Macaca mulatta: one gene and its partners. The protein of the gene in region 1 interacts with the protein of each later gene in a pairwise test. Links are inferred from orthologs where the notes say so. Each region holds a gene or a part of one and is shown on either strand. Other genes may lie near its edges. The genes, in order: PPP1CC, CNST and CSRNP2.

Evidence for each region.
Region 2: the proteins of PPP1CC (region 1) and CNST interact in a two-hybrid assay, tested with the Homo sapiens proteins (2 studies listed by BioGRID and IntAct). The link is inferred for Macaca mulatta from reciprocal best matches to the Homo sapiens genes PPP1CC and CNST.
Region 3: the proteins of PPP1CC (region 1) and CSRNP2 interact in binary tests that used the Homo sapiens proteins (3 or more experiments, as listed by UniProt). The link is inferred for Macaca mulatta from reciprocal best matches to the Homo sapiens genes PPP1CC and CSRNP2.

Annotation. Positions count from the first base shown.
Region 1 is NC_133416.1:117,908,476-117,912,125, reverse strand, and holds part of PPP1CC (serine/threonine-protein phosphatase PP1-gamma catalytic subunit), read left to right. Parts: intron 1-359; coding exon 360-590; intron 591-3,650. UniProt on the Homo sapiens protein: Protein phosphatase that associates with over 200 regulatory proteins to form highly specific holoenzymes which dephosphorylate hundreds of biological targets.
Region 2 is NC_133406.1:2,415,708-2,419,357, forward strand, and holds part of CNST (consortin), read right to left. Parts: intron 535-3,650; coding exon 1-534. UniProt on the Homo sapiens protein: Required for targeting of connexins to the plasma membrane.
Region 3 is NC_133416.1:58,276,913-58,280,662, reverse strand, and holds the start of CSRNP2 (cysteine/serine-rich nuclear protein 2), read left to right. Parts: upstream 1-1,226; 5' UTR 1,227-1,485; exon of another isoform or gene 1,486-1,595; intron 1,596-2,167; exon of another isoform or gene 2,168-2,303; intron 2,304-3,750. UniProt on the Homo sapiens protein: Binds to the consensus sequence 5'-AGAGTG-3' and has transcriptional activator activity. May play a role in apoptosis.

The DNA of each region.
Region 1 (3,650 bases):
CTAGAGACTGAGCTATCAGGGATCTGATATTGATCAGTCATCCTGAAAGGAATACCATGTTACTTGGCAAGAAGGCATGCCTGGACATAATAACCCTTTCCACAGAATAAATTCTTAATTAGTTGAATTTTGTGTGAGGTTCTGGACATACACATATACTTAAAAATTTTATTAAGTTCAATTGAACTAAATATGATGCCAGTTTGGAAATTACTTAGTGTTGGCTGTCCAATTAAACTCTCATTACTAGAGGTCAATGCCATTGTACAATGAATTTTTAAAGAATTTCTTTCTAAAGCTTTGTTAGTGGATTGAGCTGTAAGTATGGGAACACTGTGTAACAAAATTCTTGCTTCTAGGTGACATCCATGGGCAATACTATGATTTGCTGCGACTTTTTGAGTACGGTGGTTTCCCGCCAGAAAGCAACTACCTGTTTCTTGGGGACTATGTGGACAGGGGAAAGCAGTCATTGGAGACGATCTGCCTCTTACTGGCCTACAAAATCAAATATCCTGAGAATTTTTTTCTTCTCAGAGGGAACCATGAATGTGCCAGCATCAACAGAATTTATGGATTTTATGATGAATGTAAGTACTTTTCTATATCTCAGGAAGTTATTGAAATTAAGATATTTATCATAAACAATTATCACGTACTTCTGTTAGGAATTGTGAGAGTTTAGATGCAGTGGTATCATCTCTCATGTTTTCTATTTCATCAACTTGTTTTTAACTTAGCTTTTTAGGGGAGGTGGGGGAACAGAGTCTCACTCTGTTAACAGCCCAGGCTGGAGTGCAGTAGCACCATCTTAACCTCATTGCAACCTCTGCCTCCCAGGCTCAAGCGATCCTCCTGCCTCAGCCTCCCAGGTAGCTAGGACTGCAGACATGCATCACCACGCTCAGCTAATTCATGTATTTTTTTGAAGAGATGGGGTTTCACCTTGTTGCCCAAGCTGATCTGAAACTCGTGGACTCAAGGAATCTGCCCACCTAGGCCACTCAAAAGTCCTGGGATTACTCGTGTGAGCCATGGCGCCCAGCCAGTTTTTTCTCTCTTGGGTAGAAAAAGAACACTGCCGCTATAATAAAATAAGGTCTTGGATTCTTTTATGATGTGATGATCAGATTAGGAAATAATGATCATGGTAGTGGTTTCTTTAAGATGTAAATTGTTGTATTCACAGATAACTTAATTCTTGGTAGAAATCTGAGAACCATTCTAAATAGTTTTAAGCAACTTTATTATGTAATTTCATTCCATAAAATTAATCTGTTGAAAGTATACAATTCAGTGATTTGTAGTAAATTTATAGTTAACGCGACCATCTCACCGTAGCCCCCAGGCAACCACTAATCTACTTTTTGTCTGCTAGAGAACATTGCATGCAAATAGAATCTTGGCAATGTGTAAATAATTAGTTTTTGAAATTATTATGGTTTTTCTCCTCTGGCATAACCGCACCCAGGAAGAATGGCAATAACTTTCCTAAAACTAAAATGTGCTGAACAAAGATTATTTTTACAGTATTTTACGCATTTTATGACTCATTTTGGATTGTTTATTTAAAGGTGCACTTTGATTTGACTATTGACAAAACACAGTCAAATAGGCTGGGCGCAGTGGCTCACGCCTGTAATCCCAACACTTTGGGAGGCCACGGCAGGTGGATCATGAGGTCAAGAGATCGAGACCATCCTGGCCAACATGACGAAACCCTGTCTCTACTAAAAATACAAAAATTAGCCAGGCGTGGTGTCAGATGCCTGTAGTCCCAGCTACTTGGGAGACTGAGGCAGGAGAATCGCTTGAACCCGGGAGTCGGGTTCAGTGAGTCGAGATCACACCACTGTACTCCAGCCTGGGTGGCAGAGTGAGACTCCGTATCAAAAAAAAAAACTTTGAAAATAATCAGTTTGATAAAGGGTTTTACGTCAGAAAAGGTTTTGAATCTTTACCTTCACCTTCCTTTTGTGCTTATTTCTGCCAGGAGGGGTTTCAGGTTTGGAGTGAAGGGGTGGTTAAGGAACTTCAGGTAGTTGGCATTTGCTAATATGATTATAGGGAGATCAGCAAAGTGTTGTCCCTGTGGCCCTCCCCTAGACCACATCCTAACTTAGAGTCTCCAGATGTGTGTTTTTCCATCTCAATTCACATAGATGCAGTGAGCTAGCACATTTGTTAGAAGTGCATCCTAGAAAGATTATATTCACAGACTGAGCCCTTCTACTACCACCCTTTCCCACTACTGGATGTTTGCTTGGTCTGTGTCCTTGAGATCCAGCTGGTAAGATGAGGTGGCAGGAATGATCAGGGACAAAAATTCTGTGGGTTCTGGACTGACTGATACCATTGAACCTGTACAGGAAAGATATTCGATATTAACAGGGATTCTGTGTCATAGAAGTACCAGTAAGCCAGTTACTACTCCTTAGGTAGTGAAATACAAGGCAGATGTGGTGGGTTTTTTTTGTTGTTGTTTTTTGTTTTTGAGACAGAGCCTTAAGCTGGAGTGCAGAGGTAGGATCATAGCTTACTACAACCTGTAATTTCTGGGCTCAAGCAATCCTTTCACCTCAGCCTCCCTAAGTGCTGGCATTACAGGCATGGGCCACCACACCCAGGCAACATTGTGTTTTGGATACTTATTCCAAGTGTTACTCTTGAGTTAAGAAAGGGTTCCTTTTACATAACTGTTAGCCCAGTAAATACTTTTCATGTTTGCACTGATGAATTCAAATCCATTTGACCTCATTGTTGTGACTTCTATCCTAACGTAATGATACTAGCTGCATCAGTTTCAGTTTCTACTCAATGCAGAGGCCTTTAAAATGACTTAGAAGATCAGTGTCGGTTGGTATCAGTTTCGACTCCTGTTTGATCATCAACACAGTTTATAGATCAAGCATCCTCTCTCCCATCAGGCAGATACAATTTGCCATCCAGTCTACTTGTGGGCATAAAAGTGCCCTTGACATAGGTGGCTTCTGGTTGAAGGCTTGCAGACATTTAGTATATATATTATATATATTAATTTTATTAAAATGAAAAGTTGTATTCAAATGTTGATTTTCATGGGACAATTTTAAAACCACTGCCTGTTTTCCAGGTACATAAGTACTTTATACTACCATTTCTTTTTTGTTTGTTTGTTTAAATTTTGCAAATGTGATGAAAAGGCTGAGGTATATGTTGTTGGGTAAAACAGGAGTGTTTGTTGATCCATTTCTGCTATCGGAGCTGTCTGATGTACAGTAATGGGAAACTGCATTACAGGTTATGGCTCAGAATCTTAGGATTTGGAAGCTAGACGATTTCCCTGGTTAAACCTTTTAGGACCCAGATGTTCCTAGTGGTTTGAGGTGGCCTTAGGGAGGATATGAAGAGAGAAGAGAAAGAGACAGCCCCACGCTTCAAGTGCTGAGAGGCAAAAGGAGGAAGCAAACTGATTTTTCATGGAGAGGCCAGCAGAAATCGGCAAGAGAAGAAACTGGAGTTTGTGGCATAACTAAAGAATCAAAGGCCGGGCATGGTAGCTCATGCCTGTAATCCCAGTACTTTGGGAGGCCAAGGTGGGTGGATCACTTGAGGTCAGGAGTTCAAGACCAGTCTGACCAACATGGTGAAAACCCATCTCTACTAAAAAT
Region 2 (3,650 bases), on another chromosome or scaffold:
CGGTAAGATCAGGCTGCTGCAGCTCATTTAATTCATTGTTCGCAAGTTGGTCTGTGGGCAACGCCTCAGAAGCATCCCGAAGTGGCAAACGGAGTTCTTTTCTCTGAGCCTGTGAATATTTACCCTCAGAAATCAATGCAGGAGGTATACGGTCACAGCCTGGTAAAATCAATGTCTCCGTCGCTGACTCGCTGGAAGGCAACACTTTAGGGTCTTCAGCAATGCCCTCTATTCTGGCCACATCCTGGCAGGCCTCCGTCTGAGCCAGCTGCAAGCCACTGTCATCCTCACAAGCATCCTCAGAAGAGTCTGGCCCAGACGGGCTCCCTGCTGTCTCGGAGGACTGGGTGTGGAGCGGTAACGTGGCTTCAGTGCGGCAGAGCAGCTCCTCCGTGTGGTCCTTTCCTGCAGTTACCGAAAGGCTTGGGGCATCCGCCTGCTGGTCCATCTGACCACAGCAGGGACTGCTCCCCACGGGCTCCTCTTTACGTTGGCTGTCTTTATCTGGCTCTGTGCCAAGACAAGTTTTACTCTCTAAAGATGAAGAAAAATAAATTGTTAAAAATTCAAAAACCACTTTGTATGGGAAGGAAAAGAAGGGACTTATGAATATGTGTAATACAACAATATTCTAACCCTTTCAAATGGAAATTCTATCTGTTGCATTATAGTGTCTTTAGGTATAGGAAATACCTAAAATATTTAGTAAATAATCCTTATACAGAACAGGGATTATTCAAAAGCATGTGAATATGACTAAATCATTTAGTCCTCATTATAATCAAAAAAGTCATTTTCAAAGGTTTAAAAGCTATTCTGAACTTTATTAGCCTTTTACATTAAAATGAAGTTAGAAAAATTATTTTCAGCACATTTAAGACATGGTGTATTGGGCCGGGTGCTGTGGTTCACGCCTGTAATCCCAGCACTTTGGGAGGCTGAGGTGGGCGGATCACCTGAGGTCGGGAGTTTGAAACCAGACTGACCAACATGGAGAAACCCCGTCTCTACTAAAAATACAAAATTAGCTGGGCGTGGCGGCATATGCCTGTAATCCCAGCTACTCAGGAGGCTGAGGCAGGAAAATTGCTTGAACCCGGGAGGCGGAGGTTGCGGTGAGCCGAGATCGCGCCATTGCACTCCAGCCTGGGCAACAAGAGCAAAACTGTCTTAAAAAACAACCAAACAAAGAAAAGTAGTATTGGTCTGGTTTACTAAGATAAAAGGAACAAAACTCAGTTCTGTTAAAATTTACAATTTGACCATAATACCACTAATAAATGTGTTTGCAAATTACTTGCAACTTTTGTTTGTTTGTTTGTTTGAGACAGAGTCTCACTCTCCCAGGCTGGAGTGCAGTGATGCGATCTCGGCTCACTGCAAGCTCCGCCTCCCGGGTTCACGCCATTCTCCTGCCTCAGCCTCCCCAGTAGCTGGGACCACAGGTGCCCGCCACTACGCCTGGCTAATTTTTGGTATTTTTAGTAGAGATGGGGTTTCACCGTGTTGGCCAGGATGGTTTCAACCTCCTGACCTCCTGATCCACCCGCCTCGGCCTCCCAAAGTGCTGGGATTACAGGCCTGAGCCACCGCGCCCGGCCTACTTGCAACTTCTTAAAGGGAGGTAGCAAAGGGTAGCAATAAAAAGGATACGTTTTTGCAACAAGTAGAAATGGGTTTGAATTTTGACATCTCTTTCAATTTCTACTTTAAGTAAAACCAACTTATTTTTCTTTCACTTTAAAATGAAACAGTTAAAAGCCTCCGTGTGAATAATGAAGGAGCAGTGCACGGATGGCTAGAAAACAGAGAAGCTTGCTCATTCTCGCTTTATTGGTACACTTAGCATTCGTAACTATTTTAGAAGTTTTATCCTTTTTATACTAATATGCTGTTTAACTTAAATAAATGAGCCAAATGTGAAAATAAAAGAGAAAACATGATGATAATTTTATTCCATTTGTTTTTTTATTTACTGATACTTTTTCTTTTTTTTTTTTCTTTCCTTTTCACCCTGGACTCCAAAAACATATTGATACTTTACTACTAATTACCAACTGACAATTGAGGCCCACACCATGTCAAGCAAAAGGCATTCCTGAAACGTCGGCTTCAGATTTCAGAGCATCTGGTGCTGAGGCTGCCACCTCAACTCCGGGTTGCTGAGAGGCAGCTATTCAGTAGAGTTCATAGCACCTCCCCTGACACCCTGACTCAAATTATCAGATGCGGATCAGCAGAAGGAAGAAGTGGTCACCTTTGGGAGAACACAGCCTTCCTTCTCTCTCCCCACCCCAAAGAATCACTCTAAGTTTGTGAGGCTGCAAGAAAACCCAGGCACATTTCACTTTCCTTTGGTTGTCTGCTTTGCCACTGGGCTTGCTGGTCTGCCCCTCCCTCTGTTAAATGGGGGAAGGTTAGAGCAGTGAGGGCCACAGCCAAGGGGAAAGGGGGCCAAGCCGCTCCTCCACGATTCCAGGTACCCAAAGGTTCAGAAGATGTCCCTCGAAACATGTCCACAGGATTCAGAGACTAAATGAGACTGGGAACCACAGTCCCACAGGCACTGTGAAAGCACAGGGCAGAGAGAACCCCCACATCAGAGGAATGGGGTGCGTTGCTTCCAGCTGAGGGTCAGTTACCTAAAGGCTGCAAATATCTAGGGGAGCAGCTTGGGGGTAACCTCCTCCGTAGCTGCTCCTGCTGGAGCCACCACACGACCTGGGTTCAGTCATAAACACCAATCCAGTGAACTCCAACCAGGAGCAGACTGTGTTCCCAGCCCTGGCAACTGGAGGGCGGAGAAGAGCTTTGAGTACAATGAGATTTAAGTGTGAAAATCAAGTTCAGGATTGAATAGGGCTAAGCTCTAAATAATCAAAATGAGACTATTTAATAGCTTATTAGTAAGTGACTGAAAAGGTACAGAATCAGTCTGAGGTGCCATTTTATGAGTTGGAGGTGAGGTGGTGGACGGCCGCTATGTCACGAAGTACAACCGCTTAAAGTATCGTATCTAATGAACTGAGATATCACTTAAGTGATAAGCAATAAAGACAATCTATGGGTACAATGTATTATTTACAAAATAACCTGAAAATGGTTGCTTCATCCCATTATTTAGAAATACTACAGAAAATATGGGGAAAAAAACTCCACCATAATTTTGGAAAAGCCAAGATTTCCAAACTACATTCGGAGAGTCACCCACATTGTCAACATTTCTCTTTAAAACATTGTTTGGTGAAACTTGGGCAACATTTCTTTCCCGAGAATTCAGTCCATACTCCCTCACAGGGTTATTCCTGGGACATCTGGATTGTTGAAGCCTTTGATAAGCCATACAATGCACTTAGCAGAAGCAGGCTGCATTCAATTAGAAATGGGAAGACCCGGCCAGGCGTGGTGGCTCACGCCTGTAATCCCAGCACTTTGGGAGGCTGAGGTGGGTGGATCATGAGGTCAGGAGATCGAGACCATCCTGGCTAGCACGGTGAAACCCCATCTCTACTAAAAATACAAAAAATTAGCCGGGCGTGGTGGCGGCGCCTGTAGTCCCAGCTACTTGGGAGGCTGAGGCAGGAGAATGGCGTGAACCCGGGAGGCGGAGCTTGCAGTGAGCTGAGATCGCCCCACTGCACTCCAGCCTG
Region 3 (3,750 bases), about 60 Mb from region 1:
CTTTTTTCTTTTCTTTTCTTTTTTTGAGACGGAGTTTCGCTCTTGTTGCCCAGGCTGGAGGGCAATGGCGCAGTCTCGGCTCAATGCAACCTCCGCCTCCCGGGTTCAAGCTATTCTCCTGGCTCGGCCTCTCGAGTAGCTGGGATTAAAGGCACTTGCCACCACCCTCGGCTAATTTTTGTATTTTTAGTAGAGACGGGGTTTCACCATGTTGGTCAGGCTGGTCTCGAACTCCTGACCTCATGACCCGCCTGCCTTGGCCTCCCAAAGTGCTGGGATTACAGGCATGGGCCACCGCGTCCGGTGCCCTTTCTTAAAAATAGGTTGCGGAAGGGCAGGGTGGCTCATGCGTATCATCCCAGCACTTAGGGAAGCCGAGGCGGGCGGATCGCTTGGGCCCAGGAGTGCAAGACCAGCCTGGGCAACATGGCGAAAACCCCTTGTCTATTTAAATAAATAAGTTAGTTTGCAAACTTGAGATCATGGCAATTTTTTGTTTGTTTGTTTTTGAGAGGGAGTCTTTGCTCTTTGGCCCAGTTTGGAGTGCAGTGGCGCGATGTCGGATTCACGCCAGTCTCCTGCCTCAGCCTCCCGAGTAGCTGGGACTACAGGCGCCCGCCACCACGTCCGGCTAATTTTTGTATTTTTTAGTAGAGACGGGGTTTCACCGTGTTGGCCAGGATGGTTTTGATCTTCTGACCTCGTGATCCGCCTGCCTCTGCCTCCCAAAGTGCTGGGATTACAGGCGCGAGGCACCGCGCCCTGCAGCAATTTTTTTTTTTTTTTTTTTTTTTTAAGAAAACACTCAAAGCAGTTTCTCATGTAAGTAGATAACTCAAGATATTGCTTGATTCTTTATAACTTGGGCAGGCTGCAATAAGTCATATTGCTGAAGACTAAGACCCCATGAGCGAGGAGAAGGCGGGATCATGTTCCTAATGGCGTGTGGTACTGGCGAAAGGAAAAGGGAGCTTTGGAGGAGAATTCGTTTTTTAAGATCAGTAACTGAGAGTCTCCTCTCTTCCCCGATTAAAAGGTTGCAGCAGAGCTGCCGCCTCCGGAGCCAGTTTGCCCGCCGGCTTCGGCTTTGCAGCAGTCACCGCCTACAACTCCCGGCATGCTGCTGGGTGTGGAGCCGGCACGTAGACTCCATTTCCCAGCCAGCCCCGGGTCTCGGTCAGGACGTGCCGGCGCCTATAAGAGCCAGTGCTCTGCGGCCGGAGCCTATTGTTAGCCGGAGCCGGGGCGGTTCTGGGCGTCTGCTGCCGGGGGCGCCCGAGTTGCCGGAGCCGCCCGGCCCTCTCTGCCTGCCGGCTGGGCTGCCCACCGCCCTCCCTCCCCGCCCTGCCGCCCTGGAAGCTCCCCGGCCGTCGCCGCGGGGCCCGGGACTCGCTCGCTCCTCCCTCCTTCCCACCCGGGCTAGGGCGGCGGCGGCAGCGGGGGCGGCAGAGACCATCACGGGAGGAGGCAGCTGCGGCGGGGCCGGTAATGGGCCTAGGGGTGCGGGGCGGAGGGTGCCGCCTCGTCCTTTCTCGGGATCGGCCCTCGGGCGGCCGTGGAGGAGTGGTCAAGCCCAGAGCCGTGCGGATGGAGGGGTCAGAAACGAGAGGCTCGGACGGGAGCGGTCGGGGGGCGGGGAGGTCGGGTGCCGTTGGGAAGGAACCGAGTCGGGAAGAGGCGTGGGAGCGAGGGGCACGGAGGACGCGGGCCCGGACTGCGGGGGCAGCTCGCGGGAGACCGATGGGCGGCTTGGAAGCCTGCAGGATTGCGGATGAGGATTGAGTTCGGAATGGAGTGGAGAATGATGTGGGATGGAGGAAAGTGAAGGAAGGGGAGGGGGAACAGAGGAAAATGTGGGAGGAGTGGTTGGGAATTTGTGAGTAGCAGGCAGGAAGGGATGAGGAAGGCTGGGTAGGGGCTGCAGAGGATTGGAATGAGCGGGAAGGTTAGGAGGAATCAGAGGGAAGTCGACCGAGGGCTGAAGGGTTCGGAAGGAGTGTTCATTAAAGGGAACTGGTGACTTGACATATCCCTTCGCTCCTGTTCCTGATGTCTCCCGTGTTTTTGGCGTCGTGTGGGAAAATGAAAGCATCAGTGGCCCTGGTTGCTAGCTTGATCTTTTTTCATAGGCCCAAACACGCAGCCAACTGCCACCCTTCCCTTTTAGGGCTGTGGTCTTGATTCATCCTTTTAAAGGGGTTGAGAGTGACAGTGTGACACACAAACTGTTCTTCAAAATGAAATGCTAGAAGTTATCCCCACAAGACAACACTGTCCCCTTGTCCTGCAGTTTTCAGTTCAAGGTAAATCCATAGTTCAGATGTTTTCTTCACTGGCTTTCTGTCTTGCAAATCCGCAAAGCCAGGATGTTGGTTGTGCCGGTGTTATAAATGACTGGATATCCTTGAGAGTTAATGCAGCATCATGTTCCAATTCCCACAAAGATCTGTCTTCCACACGATGGTAGTTTAGGCATGGAAAATTCTAACCTTGTATTAGCGAATGGGTACAAATCAGGGAGTGGGGGTGGTGAGTGCACGGCTTTCTTTAAACACCAGGCTTAAGCCAGGGGTTTTCATTTGAGCGCTTTATAAGTTCATGATCCTGGTGATCACAAAGACACATGGATCCATGAAATCCATAGTATTTGAGAAACTACAGTATCTTGTAAAAGGAGAAACAGGGCAGGTTATTTTATTCAGGTTTATCATAACACAGCAGCAAGCCTTCCTTCTTCCAACCCAGCTACAGATGGTAGCCCTGACCATCTTACTGGAGATTGTGATTCCTTGACCTTTCGCAGAAGGTTGGGTTCCAGTCAAGTGAAGACGCTTTCTCCTGTGAGATGCAGCTTATTACTTTGGACTCATTTAAGAAGACACATATTACCTAAACTTTGCAAATAGATTATTCCAGAAAATTTTGCCTGGGCAGTCCTTCTTGCTGGTCTCTCATATGCTTTTTTTTTTTTTTTTTTTTTTAAATTTTATTTGTTTGTTTTGGTGGTTATAGGAATCCTTATAGTCCTGAAAAAAACTTAGATCTAGTACTAAAATACATATATGCTGGTAGACCTCTTTATTAGGTGCTAGCCTGATGTCTTCTATGCTCTGGATCTTAACTATTTCGTATACCATTGGGAAATCTTCAGCTAGAAACCCTTGAGAAGGCCGGGCGCGGTGGCTCAAGCCTGTAATCCCAGCACTTTGGGAGGCCGAGACGGGCGGATCACGAGGTCAGGAGATCGAGACCATCCTGGTTAATACGGTGAAACCCCGTCTCTACTAAAAAAAAAGTACAAAAAACTAGCCGGGCAAGGTGGCGGGCACCTGTAGTCCCAGCTACTTGGGAGGCTGAGGCAGAAGAATGGCGTGAACCCGGGAGGTGGAGCTTGCAGTGAGCTGAGATCTAGCCACTGCACTCCAGCCTGGGCGACAGAGCGAGACTCCGTCTCAAAAAAAAAAAAAAAAAAAAAAAAAAGAAACCCTTGAGAAAAGACCATTAGACATGTAGCCAGAAAGTGTCAACTGACCTTTCATTTCACTGGCATTTAAAAGCTTTAAAGAGGGTTGCGTTATTTTCTCCAAAAGCATTTGTTGAGTTGGTCATTTTGACAGTTAACTGTCAGTTTTTACCTGCATTCCCAGGTGCTAAAACTTAACAAATGTATCTCTTGAACACAGGCATTGATCCTCTACCAATGAATAATTGAGAGAGGTAGGAATGACTGATTTTTCTGGTTGTAGCTTG